Linked DNA regions of Caenorhabditis elegans. The protein of the gene in region 2 purifies or fractionates together with the protein of the main gene of each other region. This does not show direct contact. Each region holds a gene or a part of one and is shown on either strand. Other genes may lie near its edges.

Evidence for each region. The genes of interacting proteins can lie anywhere in the genome.
Region 1: the proteins of K10D3.4 (region 2) and ZK470.6 fractionate together in Caenorhabditis elegans (co-fractionation; one large-scale study listed by BioGRID). This does not show direct contact.
Region 3: the proteins of K10D3.4 (region 2) and twk-37 fractionate together in Caenorhabditis elegans (co-fractionation; one large-scale study listed by BioGRID). This does not show direct contact.

What each region holds. Positions count from the first base shown.
Region 1 is NC_003284.9:4,173,739-4,180,215, reverse strand, and holds ZK470.6 (MD-2-related lipid-recognition domain-containing protein), read left to right. Parts: upstream 1-2,908; coding exon 2,909-3,007; intron 3,008-3,055; coding exon 3,056-3,275; intron 3,276-3,322; coding exon 3,323-3,536; intron 3,537-3,587; coding exon 3,588-3,732; intron 3,733-3,852; coding exon 3,853-3,945; 3' UTR 3,946-4,151; downstream 4,152-6,477. Other genes in the region: mrp-6 (Multidrug resistance-associated protein lethal(2)03659), read left to right, coding at 1-23, 98-201, 604-807, 853-1,101, 1,486-1,761, 1,811-1,987.
Region 2 is NC_003279.8:7,132,365-7,142,763, forward strand, and holds K10D3.4 (BPTI/Kunitz inhibitor domain-containing protein), read right to left. Parts: upstream 7,610-10,399; 5' UTR 7,308-7,609; coding exon 7,130-7,307; exon of another isoform or gene 6,118-7,129; intron 5,849-6,117; coding exon 5,345-5,848; intron 5,126-5,344; coding exon 4,976-5,125; intron 4,887-4,975; coding exon 4,656-4,886; intron 4,603-4,655; coding exon 3,439-4,602; intron 3,369-3,438; coding exon 3,192-3,368; intron 3,145-3,191; coding exon 2,895-3,144; intron 2,840-2,894; coding exon 2,725-2,839; 3' UTR 2,374-2,724; downstream 1-2,373. Other genes in the region: taf-11.2 (Transcription initiation factor TFIID subunit 11), read left to right, coding at 384-493, 822-1,080, 1,263-1,477, 1,549-1,810; hpo-11 (Protein kinase domain-containing protein), read right to left, coding at 7,914-8,037, 8,089-8,192, 8,546-8,669, 9,244-9,641, 9,696-9,860, 10,074-10,172.
Region 3 is NC_003279.8:6,267,094-6,274,125, reverse strand, and holds twk-37 (Potassium channel domain-containing protein), read left to right. Parts: upstream 1-2,592; 5' UTR 2,593-2,615; coding exon 2,616-2,644; intron 2,645-2,690; coding exon 2,691-2,750; intron 2,751-3,070; coding exon 3,071-3,255; intron 3,256-3,303; coding exon 3,304-3,398; intron 3,399-3,453; coding exon 3,454-3,540; intron 3,541-3,618; coding exon 3,619-3,748; intron 3,749-3,863; coding exon 3,864-4,029; intron 4,030-4,111; coding exon 4,112-4,370; intron 4,371-4,427; coding exon 4,428-4,565; 3' UTR 4,566-4,706; downstream 4,707-7,032. Other genes in the region: C10G11.8 (AAA+ ATPase domain-containing protein), read left to right, coding at 475-663, 945-1,847, 1,889-2,113; oac-9 (Nose resistant-to-fluoxetine protein N-terminal domain-containing protein), read left to right, coding at 5,093-5,258, 5,311-5,592, 5,642-5,784, 5,832-5,958, 6,041-6,539, 6,773-6,921, 6,969-7,032.

The DNA.
Region 1 (6,477 bases), on a different chromosome or scaffold from region 2:
GATTGTTGTTGTTCTTCAATATGGTAAGTCAACACAGTAACGTTTATCCACCGCGTCCATCGTATCTTATTTCAAAACAACACTCCGAGATTTTTAGAAACCCTGACCGTCGGAGAAGTCGGATTGTGCCTTGTGTGCGCGGTTCAGTTGAGTGGATTCTTCTCGTGGATCATGCGGCAAAGCGCCGAGCTGGAGAACGGGGTGAGTTTATTTTTTGCTTGTTTCTTTTTTTATCGCGGGAGATTCCTCCAATTTGCTCCCCCTTCTCCTCCTCCTGCTCCGCCATCAAAGGTCGAATTGAGCTCACTATGCGGTTGGCGAAACATCATGATTATAAAGAGTTTTGGACAATGCTCAAGCGCGAACTGCCCTGATCAGACGATTGAAGTGGTTTGTCGCATTTTCCACACACACACACACACACACATCACAACAAACACAAATGGAATGTTTGTCATGGTGGCGCCAAATGAGCGACCCACCCGAAACTCTCAATTCGGTCTTTTATTCTAAATGAATACAATGTGAACACAGCAAATGTTGCAAATGAAGACAATACAAACATAGTAGTATGCGGATTGAATTCAAACTGTCGATTTGCAGATGGTTTCCGTGGAACGAGTGCTAGAGTACACCAAATTGAAATCTGAAGAAGAAGCCAGAAGACCACATGATGCATACCTCGATAAACAGCTACTGAACTCTTGGCCAACGAAAGGAGAAATCGAGTTTGAAAATGTATCTGTCAATTATGGGGAGACCAAAGTACTCAAAAATCTTAGCTTTGTTGTTTTAGGTGGACAAAAGGTGAGTTACTAACTTTTTGTTCAGAGTATTACTTCTGAAACTTAGATTGGAGTCGTCGGCCGAACTGGTGCTGGTAAATCAACACTCATTAAAATTATTTTTGGACTGAAAGAGTACTGCTCTGGACGTGTCACTATCGACGGTGTGGATCTGGATCACATTAGTCTTAACTTCAGAAGAGGAGGAATGTCTATCATTCCGCAGGAGCCCGTAATCTTTTCAGGAACGGTCCGGGAGAATTTGGACCCGTTCGATGAGTATGATGATGCTACTATTTGGTTTGCGTTAGAGCAGGTATGGCTTTAATTTATTGAAGAATAACATGTGAGAATGAAATTTTTATAAGCCATTTTTATGGCCCCTATAATCTTGTTTTAACACCATTGGCTTTACAAATTTTATTGAAAAAGTAAAATGTTGACTGGGCAAAGATTGAGCAAGACTTGGACAAGACATAAGCAAGACTTGAGGAAGACTTGGACATGACCCCTCCCAAGTCTGATCCAACTTTTTCTCATATTTTAACCAAGTTCAAACTTCACCTCACCGTAGCCCTAGTTTTGTCCTATGTGTGCCTAAATCTGATCCAACGGTCTAATTTAATACGAGATTCCGAAATTCATATGAAATCGAAATTTTTAATAGATTCTGTAGGATAATCGTTGAAAAAATTTTCAGTGTGAGCTTAAACGTTCCATCACAAAAGAAAAAGGATTGAACGTCGAATTGGGCCAACGGGGAGTCAGCCTGTCTGTCGGTCAGCGTCAACTTTTCTGTCTTGCCCGAGCAATGATCCACCGATCCAAAATTCTTGTTATTGATGAAGCAACCGCAAATGTTGATGGAGTGACAGATGCTTGCATCCAGAAAACAATTCGAGACTTTTTCAAAAACGCCACAATCATCACGGTGGCCCACCGTCTTCACACCATTATGAACAGCGATAATGTAATGGTAAGTGGTTTCTCAACAAGCAAACAATGCCTAGGTTCGCAACTTGCAGGTGTTTGAAAAAGGAGAGCTCGTCGAGTTTGACAAACCGATCACTTTGCTGGATGATCAGAGCTCGCTGTTTTCAAGAATGGCTGCTCAATCAGGGGCTGAAAATTTTGACTCCCTTCGGGCGGCTGCATTGGCCCATGCAATCGATGATCAGTCATCGTATACGGATAATAGTTAAAGTTTCATTAAATTTCCATGTTTTCTAAATATTCAAATCATAACTTGTTTCACTTTCACATCATTTTATAGCAATTCAATTGTTCAATGTCACCTTTTCAAAGGGAATCGAGATTGTTTTTATTTCACTTTTTATTCCATCATTCCATTGAGCACAATAATTCCTTGTTCATACCATGATCTAAGATCATTTCGGTTTTGGCCCAGTGATCGCATCGTCCACATCGTGTAGCTTTATATGTGTCGAATTTAATTTTTCTTTGGTAATATCAGCAATTTTGTTCTGTGGTTTTTTTCTGACTTTCATGATTCTAATCGAAACATGTATTTCATGCAAGCTATTCTTTTCTCCATCCCCCTCATTTTTTTCCAATAAAGAAACTCTGTTATTTTTCTGTTTTTATTTTGTGCTCTGTGTTTGCACTGTCCCATGGAAATAAGCAGACCATTTCTGTGACGAGTGTCTGATAAAAACTTGTCAAGAGTGAGGAAGAGAGCCGTCTAGAAAGCAATGAGCAAATCTTCAAATGCCAAAAATGGCAATCTCGAGTGCTTCACCATTTGCTCTAATTAGAAATTGATCGAGCGACAAATGCGGGCTCTCGAGTGATTTGGCGGAGCTTTGGAACCAGGTGCGAATCGCGTTTTTGTCGGACTTTCAAGAACGCCCCACATGTTGGGCGCTCTACAAAAAAAGACGGTCAGGTATATAAAGCACAGAAAACAGCAGAACAGAGCGCACCCGTCGACCTCCCGCTAGCACCTGAGGCAATTCAAAAACCAACCCGCACCTTTTCGTGCGTCGAGTGCTCTATTCAATTTGCACTCATCTGTGTTTTATTCTAAACATTCGATACACCCAGGTTGCGGCCAGTTCCAAAAAAGTTTCCAAGTGAAGATTTCAACAAAAATTCTGTTAACGATGAATTTCCGTTTTATTCTACTATTCTTAATATTCCCTTTTGTTTTTGCAAGTTTAGAAGAATTTGAGCAAGATAGCGCTGAAATTAAAAAAGAAGTGGTATTTTTTTGTTTACTTGTGTTTGTTTTGATTTAGTTTATTTTTTAGCCTGCTCGTTTTCGATCTTTCAAAAACTTTGGTAGCCATCAAGATGCCAGTAATCAAGCTGCAGAAGTAGCTGGCTCGAACGAAGATAACACTGATGACCCTGAAGTTGCACCGGATGCTCCATACCTTATGGCAGATTCTTCTCTAGAACAAGAAGAAGAATGCGTTGCTCTTCCGAATCGAACACGAGTTCGTCCGTCGTTTTTCCAGTGTAAAGAAGGTACAGTACTTCTAGTAAAACAGAGCCCTAAATACCAAAAATTGTAGACACAAAGTTTGAACTTCACGGCGGTGCAATTACAAACGGCAACGGTGATGATACCTACCCGGTTTCCTTCAACTCGCCTATTCGAATTTTCCTCGACATCACCAGTAATTCTAACAAACGATATGACAATTTGGGCGTCGAAGTGTCAATCTTTAAACGTTCAACCGGATGGTTCGGATGTGGGTGGATGTTTTTACCAAGCTTTGGGCTGTTGTAAGTTGTTTTCTTTGCAGAACACCGAAAAACATTGAATGTTTTTTTAAGGAGCAACTATGATATGTGTGACGACAACCCGTCATGTCCGGTGACTCCGGGACGTCAGGTTATCGAATTCGAGATTGATCCAACAAAGTTGTTTACGAATCTGTTCCGAATGATTCACTATGACTTGGTGGGTACTGACCATAAGGTAAACGCGATGGCTATTGTACTGGAGAGCCGTTGACGGACGCTTAGCAAATACGTTTTTTTTTCTTAAATTGAAATATTAAAAAGAAATCCACTTCTTCAGTATACTTCAATTTTTCAGTCCGCCTACCAAATGATGGTTCGAGTCCGAGACAATCGAGATCCCTACCGAGAGTTGCTTTGTGCTACGATCCAAACTAGAATCACACTCTGAGACCAAGACACTTTTTATTTATTTATTACCAAGATCCTTATCAGCAGTATTTATGAACGATAACCGGGACGCAACCCAATTAATTTAATTCCCCTTCCCTACCTTCTCCCCCAGTGAACACCAGAACCAAGTGGTTTCTATTCATCCAGTTGTTTATGATTATGACTCTCTGTTACAGGTTATCAAAAAATGAATAATATAGTATATTCTGTTTTGATATGTGGGAATGGTCTGGAACAACTAAGGTGCATGTGTGAATAACAAGAATTGAAAATCACATGGGATCCGGCTTTCGTTAGATCTCTGTTTTGACACATGTTTATCTCGAGTAATAACGCTGAAAATTCCATAATTCCATAATCATTCTGCTGAGAGAGTAAATTAATTTCTTGCTACTCAGCGGAGAAAACTTCCAGAGGAATTAATTAGTCAAAAAGAAAAACAACAAACAAATAATATTTGTTGAGTAATGTACACTACTTGCAAAACTTTTGTCGACCAATGAGCATCAAATGCAATATGTTAAGCGATTAACATTAACGAAACTTTAAAAAATATGTATATAAACCTGATCGTTGAGAAAAAAGTAAATAACACCGGGGAAAGTGCGCGGGAATGGTGATAATGAAGTGGAAGCGTTGTTCGGGATAAGACCAGTAGCTGGAATGCAGTCTAGTATAAGAAACCTTTTGCTAACCTTTTACACAATAAATAATTAGTGCACTGGCATTTTGGAAAGATGGGAACGCTGAGGACAACAATAGATACGGTAATAACTTATGTGAGAGAAGTAAATAATTTTAGGTTACAAAGATTGCGGAATGTTCTGAGAAACTCTGATAATGCAGATAATAAAAAGCTTCGGTACAATATAAAAACACAATAAAATAAGTCAAAATAAAAGATTGAATATGAAAATCTGGTTTCAAAGTACTTTGACTATGATCAATATTTGTTTAATTTTTATTGATTAATATTAGATCTTCTCGGCATTTGGCTTCAACTTCTCGCTCAAGTTTGACCCTAAAAATATTAACTTGGACAAAAGTTGGGCGGGACTTTGGCAGAACTTGGATTCAGGCTGGGCTAAAGCTTATCCGAAGTTTGACCCAACTCTAGCCAAACTTTGGCCCAAAATTTTCTTGTTTCGTTTTAAACTTGGGTAGATGTTTGGCAAGAGTTGAGTCAAACATGGGTTTGGTGCTGCCAAAATCCAAGTTGCAGTTGCATATTGGTGTAACCTCCAAGTTTTGCCAAGGTCATGCACAACTTTTGCCTATTTTTAGTTTTTGTTTTCTGAGTAAGCTCAAAGGCAAAGTAACCCTACTGGGGAAATAAGTAAAAACCATACATTTTGTTTAAAAATTTCCAAATATCATAGTTAAACTCTTCACAATTTTTTTGAAATCTTTTTATTTCTATTAACTGTCATAGAATGTTAACACAGATTTTTGAAAGTCGTCAATCAGAAAAATGATCCTTCGACTTTAATGGACTTATTTTTCATATATTAATACTCTAACACTTTAGGAATTCCAACCTGCGACAGTTTTCTCAAAAAGTGACACAAACTCAGTAATTGACACTATTTGAATGTCAATAAAACGTTTTTCATCACTTCTTGAAATGTTTTTTGGCCATTTTTGGCATTATAGGAGGTTTTAATAATTTTCCTCGCTGGCGCAACTACAGCTTCAATGAAAACTTTCATACTTTGGAGTAAAGTGTTACGCTTTGTAAAAAAAATAGCATATGTACAGTTTTTTCTACTTAAATGAAATGTAAGACGTATTTTTAATGCTTTATATTTGAAACAGACCTTTTCTAACTGAGTGAAACTGTCAAACTTAAAAAAAGCTTGACTCGAGCAAAAATTTGAGGAGCTCAAATCTAAGCTTTTTCAATGATTGTTCAAAGTTTGACCAGTCTTACCCAAGTATAAAACGACACAGAATTGTTTTTCAAACTTGGGCAGGATTCTATAAAACTTTGTCAAAGTTTTCCAACATTTGCTAAATTTTAAACCAATTTTAAAACCGTACCTAGAACTTGCACAAACAGCTGCTGGCCGGAATATTCAGTAAGAATGGGACATTTCAATTCTAGAACATCTGAACATATGTCACGTTTCAATTTGTTTAAAACAATCAAAATGCACGAGAACCTAAAATGTAACGTTCACAAACACTTGAGAAACAAGTTGTGAGTTCACAAGTTTTAACAGTCCTCAAACCCTGCGATGAATAATTTGTGGCATTTTTTTAAGAGAAAATTTCAAAATAATTCAAGATTTGTGATTTAGTGTTTTGTTCGTTGATTACGATCTTTGGAAAGTTGAACGATGAAGTCCTAAAACATAAAACCGTCTTATCTGTTGTTTTTAAATTTTTTCAAATTTTTATCTTCTCACTTCAGTTTAATCTTAATGATTGTAGTTTACTCAAGGAAGTGGATTAATAAAAAATTCAACTGTTCATGTCAAGTATGTCACTTGGTTTTGTTATTGGCATCTTCTCCGAGTTCAAATGTTCA
Region 2 (10,399 bases):
GAACGATTCAAATTCACATCATATTTTTTAATGAGACTAGCACACCACTTTGCAAAACGTACACTGTTTTCAAGAACTCATAAAGGAACAATGTATTACTCAGTCATTGACACATTGAGACCACCCAATAACCATGCAAAACACGTCACCAAGCGAAACCCATAAAATGTCGACACACTATGAACATAGCCTACAGAGGTTTTCTTTCATCAGGCCTATTAGTTTTTTTTCTTTTTCACATATATCTCCCCTGTTTTACTTAAAATACAGGTAAAAGTCGTATATCATTTTCCAATTGAGATCTACTTCTACGCTATTGTTATTCTCTTTACATTTTTGAATAACCTTGTATGTTCTGTTTTAAATATAAAGAAATTTTCAGAATGAATACGAATGACCTATTCGGAGGTGTAAGCAGTGATGAAGAGGAACAATGTGTCATGCCACAACAGATGCCAAGTGAGAAGGATGTACTTGCAGATTTGAAAATGAGGTAAAGACCAAGTGTAAAAACATGCAAGATAATACTTGTATAATCTCTTCCACTCTTTTAAAAGTTTTAACCAAATTCAATTATCACTAAAAGTGGACATTTTGTTTCAGTTCGAGAAAGTTTCATGAAAAATTTTTTTACATCCCAGAATCAGGCACATCTTAATTTTGAATAATTTTCATCAGAGACAGAACCTCTAGAGTTAGTTTTCAGTTAAATCTCATTTGCGTCACAGTTGTTTAAAAATAAAAAAAAATAGTGGCAGTCTTCGGTTACTGTACCCATTTTTCATTTTCAAGATTTGTTTAAAATTATATTTTTGTTCTAGTGATAAAGAAGATATACTCGTGGAAACTGCGCCGTCTGTGGAAAAGAAGGAAGAACCTATCGTCAAAATGGAGGAAACCATCTCAATAACTCAACAGTCTTTTCTGCCGCAAATCAAGCCTCAAGTTGTCTTCTATCTTCCAAATGATAATACTTCTACAATTGTTTTTAAATCATTTTGGATGCACAACGGAAAGCCCATTAGAGAAATCGTTGACGGACAGGGAACTAGTCAATTCACTGCTTGTTTCAAAGAATCTGTATGTTAATTGAAAGCTGAATAGCGCCAGGGGGTGTTCAAAATCACTTCTATAGAACATTTTCTGATCAAAAATCCAATTGAAAAATTTCAAAAAATTATTTCAAAAGTTTTCATCTAGTTTGGCATTTTGTCAAAACTTTGACCATATTTAAAAAAAAAAAACTAATTTCAAATTTTCAGGTTCGGGAGGAAGAGCAGCGAAGAAAAAGATTACGCGAGGAAAAAGAAAAAGAAAACGCGATGAGAGCTGCTTCTCCGGAAATTCCAGCCGGTCCCCCACCCACAAAACGGCAAATTCTGGAGCAAGAAGAGAAGGAAATTATTCTATTGAAAAATCAAGTTCTCGTTGCCAACTTCTCACAAGAACAAATTGAACGATACGAGGTTTATAGAAAGTGAGTTGATTTTCCATTTTTGAATTACAGATTGCCATGGAATTCCTTTGTATAAAACTTAATTTTTACAGATCATCGTTTAAAAAGTCCACAATCAAACGTCTTATCAATGAATTCACTGGAGGAATTGACCTTGGAAAAAAGGTAGATATTGCAGTAGCTGGATTGGCAAAAGTGTTGGTTGGCGAAATTGTTGAAGAAGCTCTTGATATCAGAGATTTGGATGAAAAAGAAGCAAAAGAACCACTCCAGCCACATCACATTCGTCAGGCATATCTTCGTCTTGGAGAACAGGGAAAACTCTTACCGTCATTTGGACAAGGAAATAATTGAGCTTTATTGCCAGAGAAGAACTTTTTTCGAACAATATGGGTGTTTTTTTGTTTATATTGTTATTTCATCGATCTCTATTGTGACAAAGTTGTCTATATTTTTGGTTTATATTGGAAATGAATCATTGGAAGTGGTAAATGATTTCTATACTTCCATAAAAATAACCTTCCAATCCACATAAACTTGAATTAGAAAAATGCCGGGGTACTGTAGATTGAATCTGGTCTCCTCTCAAAAATGATTGTGATGGTTATCGTTTTTCTCAAAAACATTTGAATCAACACCTAATTTAAAAAATCTAAATTCATTTTAAAAAACGAATGAATTCGTACACGAAGTCTTGAAAAAGGAAACGCGGGCACCAAAAAAAATTTTCGATTTCTGTAATTTTCCCCCAGTAGAGTTCTACTTGAGCAAAGTAAAAGTGGAACATTTCTAGATAAGAAAAATGCTCACGAGTTGAGTATGATCTTCTAACCATCTTGATATTTTAACTTTTCAATAATAACTTTTTACACTTTAAACATGGCAGCCTTCTGATTTCACATAATGGGAAACTTAGAATTGGAAATTTCGTTTTATTTCAAAAGAAGAAAACTCAAAACATAGCTAAAAATAGCAATACGATTGACGTCAAAACAGAACTTTGAAAATATAGATTTCTGATTTTCAGGCTCTTTTTGGCATCGATTTTTTCCAGTTACATGGAAAAACAATGAGAGGAAAATGAACAATTGATAGAGGAAAAACAGACAACCGTACAGTGTAAGTTATGCAGAAAAATTATTTGTTTGGTGGGGAATACACATGTACGTGGGAATGAGATGGCGAAAAAGTCAAGAAAAAACATCAAAAAATAAATGAAAGAATTTAGAAATTTTAGAGAACAAAGTCGTGAACCCCGGAGCTCTTGTTTAACTCTTTCCATTTCCCAACTGAACTCTGCAACAGATGAATCCATTGTCATTGCCCGTGTAAAGACATGCTGAGTTGTCTGGACAAGATTGTGGAGTTCCAGCACGAGCATATCTAAAATTATACAAAATTGAAAACCATTCAATTTTTCAAATCAAATTTCACTTACGGATTGCACGTCCTATAGTTTCCAGCCAACTCGACTGGAACCAAATTAGCTGGTTGTGGTGGGCAAACATTCGGCAATCGAACATCTGACTCAAGTCCACAACAGATATATCTTTCCAAATTAGTGGAGAATTGGCAATGTCTGTTGGCTCCACAACCCTGGATGGCGTCATTGAGTGGAGCTGATGGAGAGCAGTATTTGTACTGGGCTCCGTTTTCTCCTGGTACAGGAACAAGTTGTGGTGGGCAGTCTAAAAGAAAATGACTAAATTATGAGGGTTAACTCGAAGATACTTACATCCTGTATCAACAGAGTCTGGGGATCTGCAGCAGTAGAAAGCATTGACTGATGTTGTTGTAGTTGAGAACCAGCAGAAGAAGTTTCCAGGGCAAGCTCCATCAACATTTGGAGTACATTGCATTGGTTGAAGTGAGAGAGCAGAAATGAATGGAGTTGAAGCAGCAGGGCAGAGAGCTGGAAATTAATTTTTGGAATTTTGAAAGATAAAAAGTATGTTTAAGAAGCTGTAATTAAAAAAACTAACATTGAAGTTCAGTCGAAGCTCCGCAGCAAACATTCTGATCAAGAAGTGGTGAAGAATAACAAGTGTAACCATCGGGACAACCACCGGAAACTCTTCCATTTCCACCTGGATTTGAGCATTGAACAAGTCTGCTTCCATCTCCATCCTTGGCAACAACAGTTCCTGGTGGACAGGCTTCCGAAAGACAATAGTTTTGACAAGACTTTTGAGAAGCAAAGTTATTGCGATTTCCTTCACATCCATTATATTCAAATGTTTGGCATGTCTTTGAATCAGCATTGAAGTACCATCTGGAGATTCTTGTGCTAGAACATCTAACTCCGACGTCACGTGGTTGAGAGCATACGAAATTCTTTGATGGACAGCAGAGACTCTTTGTTTGGTAAACGGTTCCAGTCCATGTGGTAACTGGTGTACAGTAATGAGTAGATGGGCATTGTCGGTTAGTTGTACAAGCACGTGCTGCTCCATTCTGCTCCTTCCATACTTCTCCTCCATCTGGACATGATTCAACTCTACAGTAATCCTTACAATCTTGTTGAGTGGCAAAGTTATTAGAGTTTCCATCACAACCATTGAAAGAGTATGTCTGACAAGTTCTAGTTGTAGAATCATAATACCAACGAGTGACAGCTGGTCCACAAGATGCTCCAGATTTGTAAGACAATGAACAAGTGTAAGCTTGAGTTGGACAACATCCATAGGTGGTTCCATCATAATAACAGTAATGATTAGCTGGACAGGTGGTAGAAGCAGCTGAAGATCCTCCACAGATAATGAAGTTTCCGTTGGAATCAGTAAGAGCGGTTCCTTGAATACATTGTGGCTCACTGCGAGCATCTCTACAGTAATCTTGGCATTCTTTGTACGTTTCGAAGTTATTAGCATTTCCTTGACATCCAGAATAGATAAACTCTTCGCAGTTTCCGGTTTTAGCATTGAACCACCAACGATTGGAATATGTTCCACAGTTACCTTGTTCTCTTGGCAACTTGCACACGTACTGCGGACGTGGACAACAGACTCCTCCGAAAGTAGTTGAGCCAGAAGTAGACTCACAGGAGTGAGTAGATGGACATGAGTTGGCTCCAGAACCAGTTGGTGAGCATTCCATGTTGCGTTCTCCAGATGAATCCTTGAGTGGTTCTCCAGCAGAACAGAGAACTGAAATATACATGTTTAAAGTTAAAATTCTTCAAAGAAAACAGTTTCCTTACTTCTTGAGCAGAATTTCTCACAGTGATCTTGAGAAAGGAAGTTGTTAAAGTTTCCTCCCTGTCCGAGATACGAGAATTGAATACAACGTCCTTCTCGCGAATCGTAGTAGAATCTTGGCGAAGTGTTTCCAGAACCATCTGGGATTCCGACATCAAAGTATTCGGTTGGTAGACCTCCGGCTGTATTGTAGACTTCTGATGGAATTCCTCCATTTCGAGAGCAGATGAACACTAAAAATTTAAATTAATAAGTACCATCTTGAATATTCAAAGGTTTTATTCTCTTAATATCAAAATTCGGTAAACTCTCATAAACTTACAGTAAGTTGGACAACATTGTTGAAGAGTTCCCATGGTTGTACATTGATAGTTCGGGTTGTTACATCCATTGTCATTTCCTTGACAATAAACTGGCTCTTGTTTGACTCCAGTTGTACGGTCACGATACAATGGAAGACCGCGGTTACAGGCTGAACAGTTTTAATTTTAAAGTAGAATTTGACTTTTTCAAATTGGAAGTTGTTAAACACGGTTAATTTTCTATGTGTCCGTCAGCAACCTCACACTATTGGCATGGTGGTAGGACGATTCACATATAGACTATTAAACTGAGTCTACTGTGCTCATTGAGGCTATATGTATACATCGCAAATTAACCATATAATTTCATTCAATAAATATAAACTCACTTTGTTTACAGTAAGACTCGCAATGATCCTTTGTCTGGAAGTTGTTGGCATTTCCACCGTATCCTTGATATTTGAGCTCTCTACATTCTCCGGTAATTGGGTCATGGTACCAATGATTCAAAGTAGTACCACCACCTGGTGGAGTGTATCCTTCATTTGGTGGTTGAATACAAGCAAATGCACGTGATGGACAACAGAAACTGATAGGATTGTTGACGGTACAATCATCAGAATCACAAATACAATCGTATGAAAGAGCTCCAATAGCTTCACACGTGGCATCGGCTCCTCCGTAGCACTGTTGAACTTGGTTTTCAATGCGGAACTTTGGATTATTTCCGTTAAGTGGACAGAATCCATAGTTGAGACACACAAGACCATCACGAGTACGGAATGGTGGTTGATTGTTGGCACATCGACATTCTCCTGATCTACAGTATGCACCTGGCCAAACGGCTTCACATTGTCGATTTTGTGTACATCCAGACTCTCCCGGATTGATTTCTAAATATATTATTTCATTTCAATTGAAGAAAATTAGTAAAAATTTCAACTACATTGCAGTTTTCACTTATGACTCAAGAAATGGAAAATTGGAAATTTATTTTTCGTGCGAAACGAGTTTATTGAGTTTAAATCCTCACTTTTCAACATTTGTTTGTTACAAATTGTTTCGTAAAAACTGTATCATAAAGGGTCAAATTGCTTAAAAACGTTTACTGATGTACCAAAAAAACGATTTAGGTGTTAGTTTGAAAGATTGAGAAAGTGAATAATCAATTCATAATTTATTTATGCATCAAAGAAGAAAATGGTTCACAAGGAAGGTAAGAAAAGAGAAAATAAGAGAAAAGCAGTCGGTGGCAAAATAAGTTAGGCTTATATATGTGTGTGTGCTTGCGCTGGTGGCATTTTTGTGACTCAAATTTTGCAGAAACGACAACTAAAATCGGATGAGGAGAAAAAAGTTAAAAGAGCAACCCGCCAGGATGGAGAACAACAACCCAGCAAAACGACGACGATAAGCAATGAAACGAAACAATAAAAAATAATGTTGATGAGCATCCGTGTTGGTTCTGGATGTTTCGTTTTGACAAGAGAAGAAAATAGAAGGACCTAGGGTATACTAAAAACACGGGAGACGAGGATAACAGCGCGAGATAAAACGAATCAGGATACTAAATTCTTTGTATGGCATTATTCGTTGGAAGATACATAGAATCACAATTTAAAATGCCATACATAGTATTTGCCAAAATAAAAAGAATATAGATTGTGAGAAACAAAGAAGAAAGTCTAAAGGGATGGGGCCACGATATGAGCTTAGGAGAACAAACTGGATGGGGAACGAAGACGCCGGGAGTTTTCGGTTCGTTGTGCCAAGAGATCTCATTTTAGAAGTTGGCACGACCCGAGCAACTCACGGCGGATATCGGGTAAAAACCTAGAAATTTTGGAGCCCGTGTTACGGGAATCGTTGTAGGGAATCTAGACGTTTTCGATGCCATTTTCACATAGATAAAAAGGAAACGAAGAATTGAAATGAAAGTTTGATGGGACTATGAAGGGGAAAAACGGAAAAGTGCCTAACATGAAAAAACGCATGCATTCAACATGAATACACAAATGTACGTGAAATATGAATAATGATGAAAACGACAAGAAGAATGTGAATTAAAGTTAGAAAGCGAGAAGGCGAGAAGCTAGCACAGCGAGAATGGGGGAAGGTGATCAGTATGGGGATCTACAGTAATCTCGTTTCTCTTTATTTTATCAAATACTTACTTCTCCAGCAATAAGAATCAATCTCGACATATGTCGTCAGACAGGCACATCGCTTATTTCCAGCACAATAATTTCCGGTTCCGCAATCTGTGGAGACCTCACAAGGCCGTCCTACGGTTCCGTGTTGGGCACGGACCGCGATAGCGGCAAGCAGCAACAGAGCCGCTAATTTAAGCATTGTGCTCGCTTATCGTTTGTTGAAAACTGCTATATCACAGTGATCAATAGGGAATAATGGGGGGAGTGAGTGGGGGGACAAACGATTTGTCGGGCGTTTGACCGTGTCCGTCGTCTCTTCGCACGACCGCAAATACCACTACCAAATATCTTAGAAGGGGCCGAGAGTCAGTCAACACGAACAGACAAACCTCTATACAGCACACAGTCACCGTCAACCCGTCGACTATGGACTTGGTGGTGCTCACGGCGGTGGCTCCGAGACCCGCCCAGTCGTTGCTCTATTACTTCCTGGGCGGAACTGTCGTCCCATCTTTCTTGAGCGCGATCTCTCTCACAATATCGAAATGGTTAATTCTCGGTAAACAAATGCGCACAGAGCTCTCGCAGTTAGTGAATAAGAGAACCTAGACATACCGATTGACCCATATTGAACTATTCAAAGAGAAAAGAGTTAATAGAAAAAGATCCCCATCTAATCACCAGAAATGGTTAAAGGAACAAGAGGAAACTGGACAAAAACAGAGAAAAACTGTAACAGGAAATATAATACGGGGATGTGGGGAGGGATGGAGGGATGGAGATGATTGGAAACAGAAATTGAAGACTAGGAAGATGTTGTTGTTGTTGGTGTTTGAGATGAAGGAGCAACCGAATCAACAATTGGTTTTACCGAATTCGTTATCGAGCTTGAAGTACCGTTTTCAATTGGAGCCTCAGAGTTTGACTCTCTGAAAAATTAATTTTTAAAAAGTTTTTCAAAACTTCATTTTGAAATTTACCTCGTTGATGTTTCATTCTCCTCTTCCTGAACACCTTCTGCAATACGAGCAGCACGAATATCAAAAGCCACTGCAATTGCTTTTTCGACTCCTTCCGAATCCAGCTGAAATTAAAGTTTTGATATTTATGTGTTTTTTGAAGTGTTTGGTTTATTCTCTCTTCTTCTCATATTATCATTTTCAACGCGCATGTTTGTTAGCTATGTGTCGAGTGACCATCAGCGTGCGCTAGCGCTATAGAGGATAAGCATCATTATGAGCAACTCGATAGACCAAGAAAAAAAGGTCACCCCCCCCCCCCCCCATCATCCAACGTGCAGTGTGTTTGCCGGTGTCCTTATTTGTTGAGAAAGCCGTAAGAGTCTCTCTATCAGCAGATTATCCTTTTCTGCATTCTCCACTTAGAGTGAGCGAAGAGAAGAAAAGTTTAAGGGAGAACGCCAACAAAGTCACTCACCTGACACATAAAACCGTGTGTAATCAGATTTTCAGTCAAAGTTTCTGGATTGTCACCCTTGTTGATCGACGTTGTTAATTGCCGATGCATTTGATCTTCTAATAGAAGAACAATTGACATTTCTCTGAAAATTAATTTGTTAATGTAAATAATTACATCAGGTTTCATCAGATGCGAACTTTGCACTTTTTTCCTCTAATATACGATACCCGGTCTCGACACGACAATTGTTTTCGCAAATTCAGAAAAGTGGGTGCCTTTAAAGAATACTGTAGTTTTAAAATCTAGTTGCTTCGGAATTTCCATCGATTTTCATAGTTTTCCGATAAAAATATATTTATGTATTTGAAAAATATATAATATACAAAGTTAGTAACTTTCGTTCAAACTTCTACAAAATTTTCATCAAAATTTCATAGTTTTTATCTTGGTTTTGTCCAAATTTAAATTGTTGTACTTTTATATTTATTTTTTAAATATTTAAACTTTTCATCAAAAAACTATGAAAAGTCTATTGTAATTCCGAAGCAAATACGTTTTAAAACTACAGTACTCTTTAAAGGCGCGCGCCTTTTCGCATTTAACATTAAATTTTTCGTGTCGAGACCCGAATCATCAAATTTCGGGTCTTATTTAAAATTCTATCAGGAAAGGGTGAACTGATTCAGGAAGTATACTTTGAAAGAAAAGAAACGTACTCATTTTCAATATGCACATTGATCTCCAAAATGTGTCTATTTTCTAACCGCATATCTCTCTCCCCATTTGGTTCTCCTTCTTCTTCCGGAGTCGGTGATCCAGCATCACGCCCATTTGATGATCCTATTGTAACATTTGCTCCATTGACTTCAACTTCGACTTTACTCGTTGATTCCGTACTCGTAACTTCACCGATTTTCTTATCAACTGCTTCAGGACTTGCTGATTTACCGATGGAAGATGGTCCATTTGTATTAGTTGTTGTACCACTTGGCTGTGATGATTGACCAGGTAAACTAGTATTAACTGATGTTTCTGCAGTGATTGTTGAGTTGGCTGAAGGATGCGTTGATGAAGGAGCAGATATATCCGTAGTGATCAAAGTCGATGGATTAGTCTGAAAACTCTATAATTTTCATAGATTTACACAAGTTCTTTCTGTATCTCATACATTCGAATATGCCCGTAATGTTGTAGATGGTTGATGTGCAAGTGGTGCAAATGCAGTTAATGGATAAATTCCATTTCGAACATCATCGAGAAATTTTTCTAGATCAACTTGAAATGCGGCCACTTGGCAATAAGCCATCTCTCTTAATTTCGACGTTGCAGCAATCTGAAAAACAATGTAGTTTAAATTAATGTACTTAGTTCACTGTATTCGATCAAAAGGTAGTGTAGATAACCGAGAAGCGCCGACAAAGTGACCGACGAATCAAATATTTACTTTTGTGGAGGGGGGAAAGAGTAACAACAAAACGAACTCCTCATATGGCCATTTACCCGATAACTTTTAGAACGCATTAGTCTATGTGGGGATTCAACTTACTGTTTCATTGTCTTTTATTCGGAATGCACTTTCCGAAACATCTTCATACTTTTTCGAGTCGACAATTGCGTGCGCAGAGAGCAATTTTAATGAGTGAACCTGAAATTTTGGTAATTATGCTTCAGAAAAAAATGTCATTGAAATTTGTATTTGAAATTTTTTGACTCGCGAAGTATACAACTACCACACTTGGAATTTTTTAAAGGTTTTTTTTTTGGCAGAATACCAAATTTTTAAAAAAAATTGAGTTTTTGAGAAATGAATAGAAATTTTATATGTTAGAGTACACATCGGCTTTAGATAAAATTAATTTTAACATAATTAGA
Region 3 (7,032 bases), 870 kb from region 2:
TAGTGCAACTTCTTGAAACAAATTTTAAAAAATATTTATGGTGGTTCAAAATTTCGATAAAAGGCCTAATCATTAGCTAAAACTTAAATTTTTCCAAACTTTTTAGGCAACCAATTTCGGTGATTTTTGTATAATCCCAATAAATATAATTTCAGCAAATTGTTCTTGTTGTTTCTGTTGGTTGTTTCTCCTTGTCAATAAATAATTTTTTTACGAATTGTAAATTAAAAATAAAATTTCTTAGAAGAAAACCGTGAGAAATAAATATGATTTTCAACTTTACGTGCTCTAAATTGATCAAACTCCGAGATAAAAGTAGAACAATCAATATTCCAACAAGAATTGGAAAATCAAATCACTTCAGTTTTTCAAACTGCTATCGACAACTACTTACAACTTCAATATCTACTAATTACTTGGTAAGTGCGGTGGACAGAAATTTCAGTTGTGATACAGATACTTTCAGAACTAGCCATGGGAAACAAAATGGCCCTTCCACAGAAGAAACAGGAGAAGCCCACTCACGCAGCAATGAAGATCGCAATGAAAAGCGGTCGACGCGGCATCGAGAACGCCAACAAGCTTCCGACAGTTGCACCAAAGCGACAGTGTCTTGTGCGCCTTCTCAAGATGAACAGGATTCATGATTACTTGCAGTTGGAGGTTTGTGAAAACTAAATTATCAGTTCATCCCTAGAAAGCAAAGAGTTCATCCCTAGAGAGCAAAGATGCGGAATTTATCTAACTCGAGGTCTTTAACACTTCATAAAGCCATAGCTTGTAGTAAATGTAGTTTGCAATCTATGACGTCATCATTACACGAACTTCAAATCGTTGTAGGGTTGGAGTAGTAGGATAGACGTAGAGAATTTTGTTTTGTTTATGTCAGTTGCGTAGGGATCCTATGACTGCAGTTAAATGGTTAACAGTTGTTTTCATTACAGAAAGAGTTCATCACTCGTCAAACAAGCCGTCATGGTCGCCCTCTTGCTGTCCAAAAACGTCGTGAACAGCAATTAGTTCAAAGTCTCCGAGGAACTCCAACCACATTGGCTCGTGTCCACGAGCTTTTCGATGATGAGAAGCATGCCGTTGTGGTCGTTGAAGGTTCGAGACGTGAATGGTACGTACCAATTCTCTCGATCGTCGACAAGGACTTGCTTCGTCTGAATGCCCTCGTCATGGTGAAGGCTGGTGGAATGTTCAAAACAGTTCCAAGTGCAATCGTTGGAGTTTTGGATGACAAGATTGACAGCAATGCGATGGGACATAAAGTTGAGAAGACACCAAAAGAGACATTCGATGACATTGGAGGATGTGAGAGTCAAATTCAAGAGCTGAAAGAGTCTGTGGAACTTCCTCTTACTCATCCAGAGTACTATGAAGAAATGGGAATCACTGCTCCGAAAGGAGTTATTCTTTACGGTGAACCTGGAACTGGAAAGACGCTTTTGGCGAAAGCAGTTGCAAACTCAACATCTGCAACATTCATCCGTGCAACTGGATCCGATCTTGTTCAGAAACAAAGTGGGGAAGGTGCTCGTCTTGTTCGTCAAATCTTCCAAATGGCAAAGGAACAGGCTCCATCGATTGTATTCATTGATGAAATTGATGCAGTTGGTACGAAAAGATTTGATACTTCTTCACGTGGAGAACAAGAAGTTCAACGAACTCTTCTTGAGCTCTTAAATCAATTGGACGGGTTTGAAAGCCGTGGAGATGTCAAAATTATCATGGCAACGAACAGAATCGACTCGCTGGATCCCGCTCTTATCCGTCCTGGACGAATTGATAGAAAGATTGAGTTACCAAAACCAGATGAGAAGACTAGACAAAAGATTTTCACGGTTAGTCAATTCAACATTTCTTAAATAATTTTTATTTTTAGATCCACACCTCTGGAATGACGATTCAGAAAGCTGTCACCTATGAGAATGTATTGGGAAAGGAGAAGAGCATTAGTGGAGCTGAAATCAAGGCGGTTTGCACGGAAGCTGGTATGCTGGCTCTTCGTGCTCAACGAAAATGTGTCGGAACGGATGACTTTGAGAAGGCTGTCAAATCGGTTATGCTGTCGAAGAAGGGCGGAGCACCAGAAGGATTCTTCTCTTGACAATCGGAAATTCAATAAAGTACAAACGAGTTTACCCTAATGAACCTTTCTTCTCTTACAATGCCAGTGCAGATGTTTTTATGAACATCTGTAGTTAATTTCTTTGGTCTTTCTATGACCATAGACTGTTTGTTTTCGTAGTTTCTTTCCCTTCCAGAGCCTCAATTTGAAGAATTATGTTAACTTGATCCGAGGCGTTTTGAATACCGATCTCGAGTATAAATATTTTATTGTTTCAATGTGTTACTGTTTAACACAAGATGAGATTTGTCGTATACACTCAAATAGATACAAAAATAAATATCCAAATTTGTTTAAAAAATTTCAAACTCATTGAGCTCGCCAAGTTTCTTGAAAAAATTGTTTACGTACAGTTTTAAAAATTATAAAATTATTAAATACCACCATAACCAAGAAACGTGATATTTTCTGAGATGGCCAAAACTATTAAAAATCGATTTTTTAAAAGTCAGTTCTAATTTTTGGAGTCAATATCGTCCCAATGGTAGCATCAAATAGAAGACAATCGAGGTTTGCAGAATCATTGTTTTCATCTAAAAAAAACTACATTTTTCAGTTCAGATTCAATACCTTCAAATCAAAAATCACACAGCTCTAACCATCACACTTCTAATAGGTGAGTATAACTACAATCCACAGAAGAAAATTAGTTTGTAACCCACATGCTCGACATTTCGCTCCGTGCGATTGAAAGCTGGGAAATCGCGAAAATCTGCGACGATCTACGATAGCATGCGAAGAAATGCGCGGAAAATTCGAAACTAGGGGTAACCCGCAAAGATGTGCGACAATGTGCGAGAAAAAGCTGAAGCAAAATGTCGAGTTTCTGTATTATCTACACCAGGAAAATATAAAGACGACAGAATAGCTGTCAAATCTTCTCAAACAATACCCACTGCTTCACCACTGTCAATCCAAACTGCAATAGTCTTTCAGCGATGGAATGCAAACTCACACGGATCGACTTATTAATAAATTTATAAAGAGGCAAATGGAAAAATCTTCACCAGAAACTCAACATCTTGTCAGAAAGCAATCTATTTTAAAATTTGTTGAACGAAAGTCTAGAGCGGAAAGACCGAAGCCAACGAAATTACGAACAATTTTGAGAAAGATTCGAAGTGAGGATTTGGTTTATATTCTGCTTAAAGTAATGTTTCAAATTTCAGAATTTAATACAATAATTGCATTTGTGGTTCTTGTTGCATATATAATTGGTGGAGCTCTCTTGTTTTGGCAGATTGAATCGAGATCTGATATGAATGTTTGTAAAGCTTTTGTTTCTGTTGCAGATATATATTCATTGATAATATTTTCAGATTAATGAGTTCAAAAGAAATATTCGTCAGAAATCAATACACATCTACAATTCAATGAAAGGTAGCAAGTGTGGAAAATTGAAAAAGGTTTGTGAAAGTATTTCTGCATCTCTTTCAATTGAGCATACCCGGAAAACGCCTCGATACAATTTTCATCTATTTCAGGCAGATAATGAGTTGAACAACAATTGTATAAAAGAAATTTTTGACCTACTCTACGCTTCAAACCCTCCAAAGCATATAGAAGAGTTTCTGGATGGGCTGGCTTATGTAATCACTTGTATTACGACAATAGGTATGACTCGGGATTAACAAGTAAAATAGTATCAAAACTGATTTCGAACATTTTGAAAAATATTTTTAAAATTTTCTCCCGAGGTGTCGTCTAATCATTCTATTTTCTATTTCAGGGTACGGCGAACTTGTCTGTCACACAATTGCCGGTAAATTGGTTACTGTAGCTTATGGTATTATAGGAATTGCTCTAACACTCTACGTACTTCGCAACAATGGAAAAATAACGTTGAAAATATGCAATTTGACACTCAAAATTTTTGCAATTTGCGTTCGAAAATGGTAATTTAACATTTAAACATAAATAACCTCTTCTCAACTTTCCATATAAAATCTTTATTTGAGTTCATTATTTAGTTTTCAGTGGCAAAAAGTCGGCAAAGTATAAGATGACAGTACTGAAAGCTTTTATTCTTCTTGTCACATTTTGGGGCTTCGGAGCACTTGCAATTGCTGTCTATGAGGAGTTTGTATTCTATGATGCCTTGTACTTTTCTTTCAGTACATTTTCAACTATTGGATTTGGAGATTTTGTTCCGTCAGGTCATATCTCTGGAACTATTATTTGTGTATTACACTTTATCGATTTATCACTGATTTCAATGGTTTTAGTTCTCGTTCATGTAAGCTGTGAAGATTCCCTTGTAAGAAACCAAGTGTCTAAAGTTTACAAATTTCAGCATTCGATGGAAAACAGATTTATGAGAGTTTTGGAGCTCTTCGATGAACGGCATGCTACCGACACTTTAGAAACAAATATGATATCACCTGGTGCTTCTCAACGGAAACTTGCTGCAACGACTACAGCGAAGGAATGATTTCGATCCAGTGATCATAATTGATATCAGATTATTCTCAAAATTTAAAATATCTCTTTGCTTATTACAATTTTTATTGATATTCTTTTTGTGGTTTAATTCTTATTCTTTTTCGTCATTAAGAGAATGAAGAAATTACAAAAAGCTTCTTTTTTTGCACAATGAAAGGAAAAAAAAACTGCCCATTTAGAGATTTAATCCGGTAAAGGCTTGACAGAGGCGCCTCACACCCGCCTTTTTATTTGACCTCCCAGCGCCGTACCTATAACCTCATGTGCAATTTCTCGTTACGGAGTTAATTTTAGTAGCGCATTCGTGAATAACCTATTTGGTAATTGAATTTTTAATCTCTCAAACAACGGTGTTTGTGGCTAGTTAAAAAAAATTTATTGTTCTTTTCTTTCTGAAAATTATTTTCCAGGAATACGTGCAGCTCACGCAAATACCGTCATTTGTGAAAACGCAATCATTAATTATCAAACAATTTATTTTCGATTATCATTTGTGAAAGTTTTCCCATGAAAACAATGAATCTCGTCTATTTGATACTTGTCTCGTTTCTACCCTCATCAGCCTTCGTCAGCTGCTCATTTACCAAGTCTGGAAAACAAATTCTTCAACAAATTTTTGAAGGCGATAAAGACAATCACACCAAGTTCAACAAGTTTCAAGAACTTTTCAAAAATTTCGAAGGCAATTTCAGCTTTTTTTTAAATGAAAATGTCACTTTACGATATGTTTTCAGATGATAGTTTTTGTATCAATTCGCTCGGAAATATTGGCAAATCTGCATTGAAATTTCTGTCTGAATGCTCATCTAACACGTGCCTCGAGCCAAACTGGGCTGTCCGTCTTATTGATTCACTTCCAACAAAACCACCAGGTCTTTCACGTAAAGGACCATTCTTCTTCATCGGAGATTTTGAAACATGTAAAGAACTATGGTCGGTAGAACATCGGCAAGTACATTATTGCACTTTGAAAGGAACGGTGAAACTTGGCAGCGAAACTCTTCCAGTTACAACAGGTTCCGTTTTTATTGTTTTTTGCTCCGTTTTATAATCTTTTCACTGTAGGAGTCTGCCTTCCATCAAATTGCCATGAAAATCAAATGAGTAAGTTGCTGAATTTGGCGAAGGAGTACTTGTTCAATGAGACGATCCACGTGGATTCAGTTTATTGTTCGCATGGCACCGACAGTACTTGGAGTGTTAAGAAAGTATATTTTGATATATTTTAATTCTAAAAGAATGTTTCTATTTTCAGCCATTTGTACTTTTCTCATTATTCTTTATCCTGGCTTTGTTGACTATCGGAACGTTAACTGAAAAAATGAATCGAGACGGACTGATCAAGAAAAGTAATACGAAAATGAGAAGAATGATTCATAAAAGTGAGTGACATCAAGCTTTAAAAAAAGTGTTAAGCAAAAACCACAGCTGCAGATCTATTAACATCAACCTGAATTTTTTAAGAATCGTTTGATGTCACTCGTTCGTCAGCTGTCTCTATCAGTGAGGACCGTTCAGACCGTGAATCTTGTGGATTCGACTCTTCAGGAGAGAGCGAAGATAATGAGTCACTTGCGAATTCTTCAGTCAACCGTCAGTTTGCTCCATCAATTGCTCTAACCTACCGAACCCTGGCGACTATCTCACTATCGAATTCTTTACTCGTCAACATTTTGTCTGCATTCTCCGTCCGTTCAAGTTTGACATACTTGTTCCGTAATTCAACAAGAGACGTGAAACTGGTCAACCTTTTCCGTGTATGCAGCTCTTTTTGGGTCATATTCTCTCATACTTGTCTATTTTCTTTACATTTCACGGATACAATCAGAAGTGTTGCAAGGAAAGGAGAAAGTGTGGTTGGATGGAGAAATTTCATGATGAACTCATCATTGGCAGTTGATACATTCTTGTTCTTGTCAGCGTGTGTCGCAAGTTACTCAATTCGCAAGAAAATTTTGTTCAGGTATGCTTTGCTCTTTCTTTGATTTTTCATGATTTTTCTGTTAAACCTTGTGGGTGGTGTATTTATTATTGTCTTAACATCAAATCGGGCACAACCTTCTTTGTACGTTGTATCAGCTTTCTGAAAATATATAATTCGATCCATAACTCTATAAACACCAAACAAGAATCCATCAAACCAATTACCCAAATATAATTTTAGGTCTCAACATCTTAAACTCAAATAAATTTCAGAGGATCCAGCTCTAACTTTTCCATTATAAAATGTCTGGCTCTGCTTGGTCATAGATGTCTGCGTCTTTTGCCAGCACTTTCTCTTTATCTCCTTTTTATGGGACTTGTTTACAATCATTTGGCTGATGGACCATTCTGGAATGCAAATGGTGTCTCCAGTAACTACATTTGTAGATTAATCTTTAACTTCATTCAGGAATGTTTGGAACCGAATGTAATGTAACAACAATCTGGCCTCATTTTGCATTTGTATCGAACTT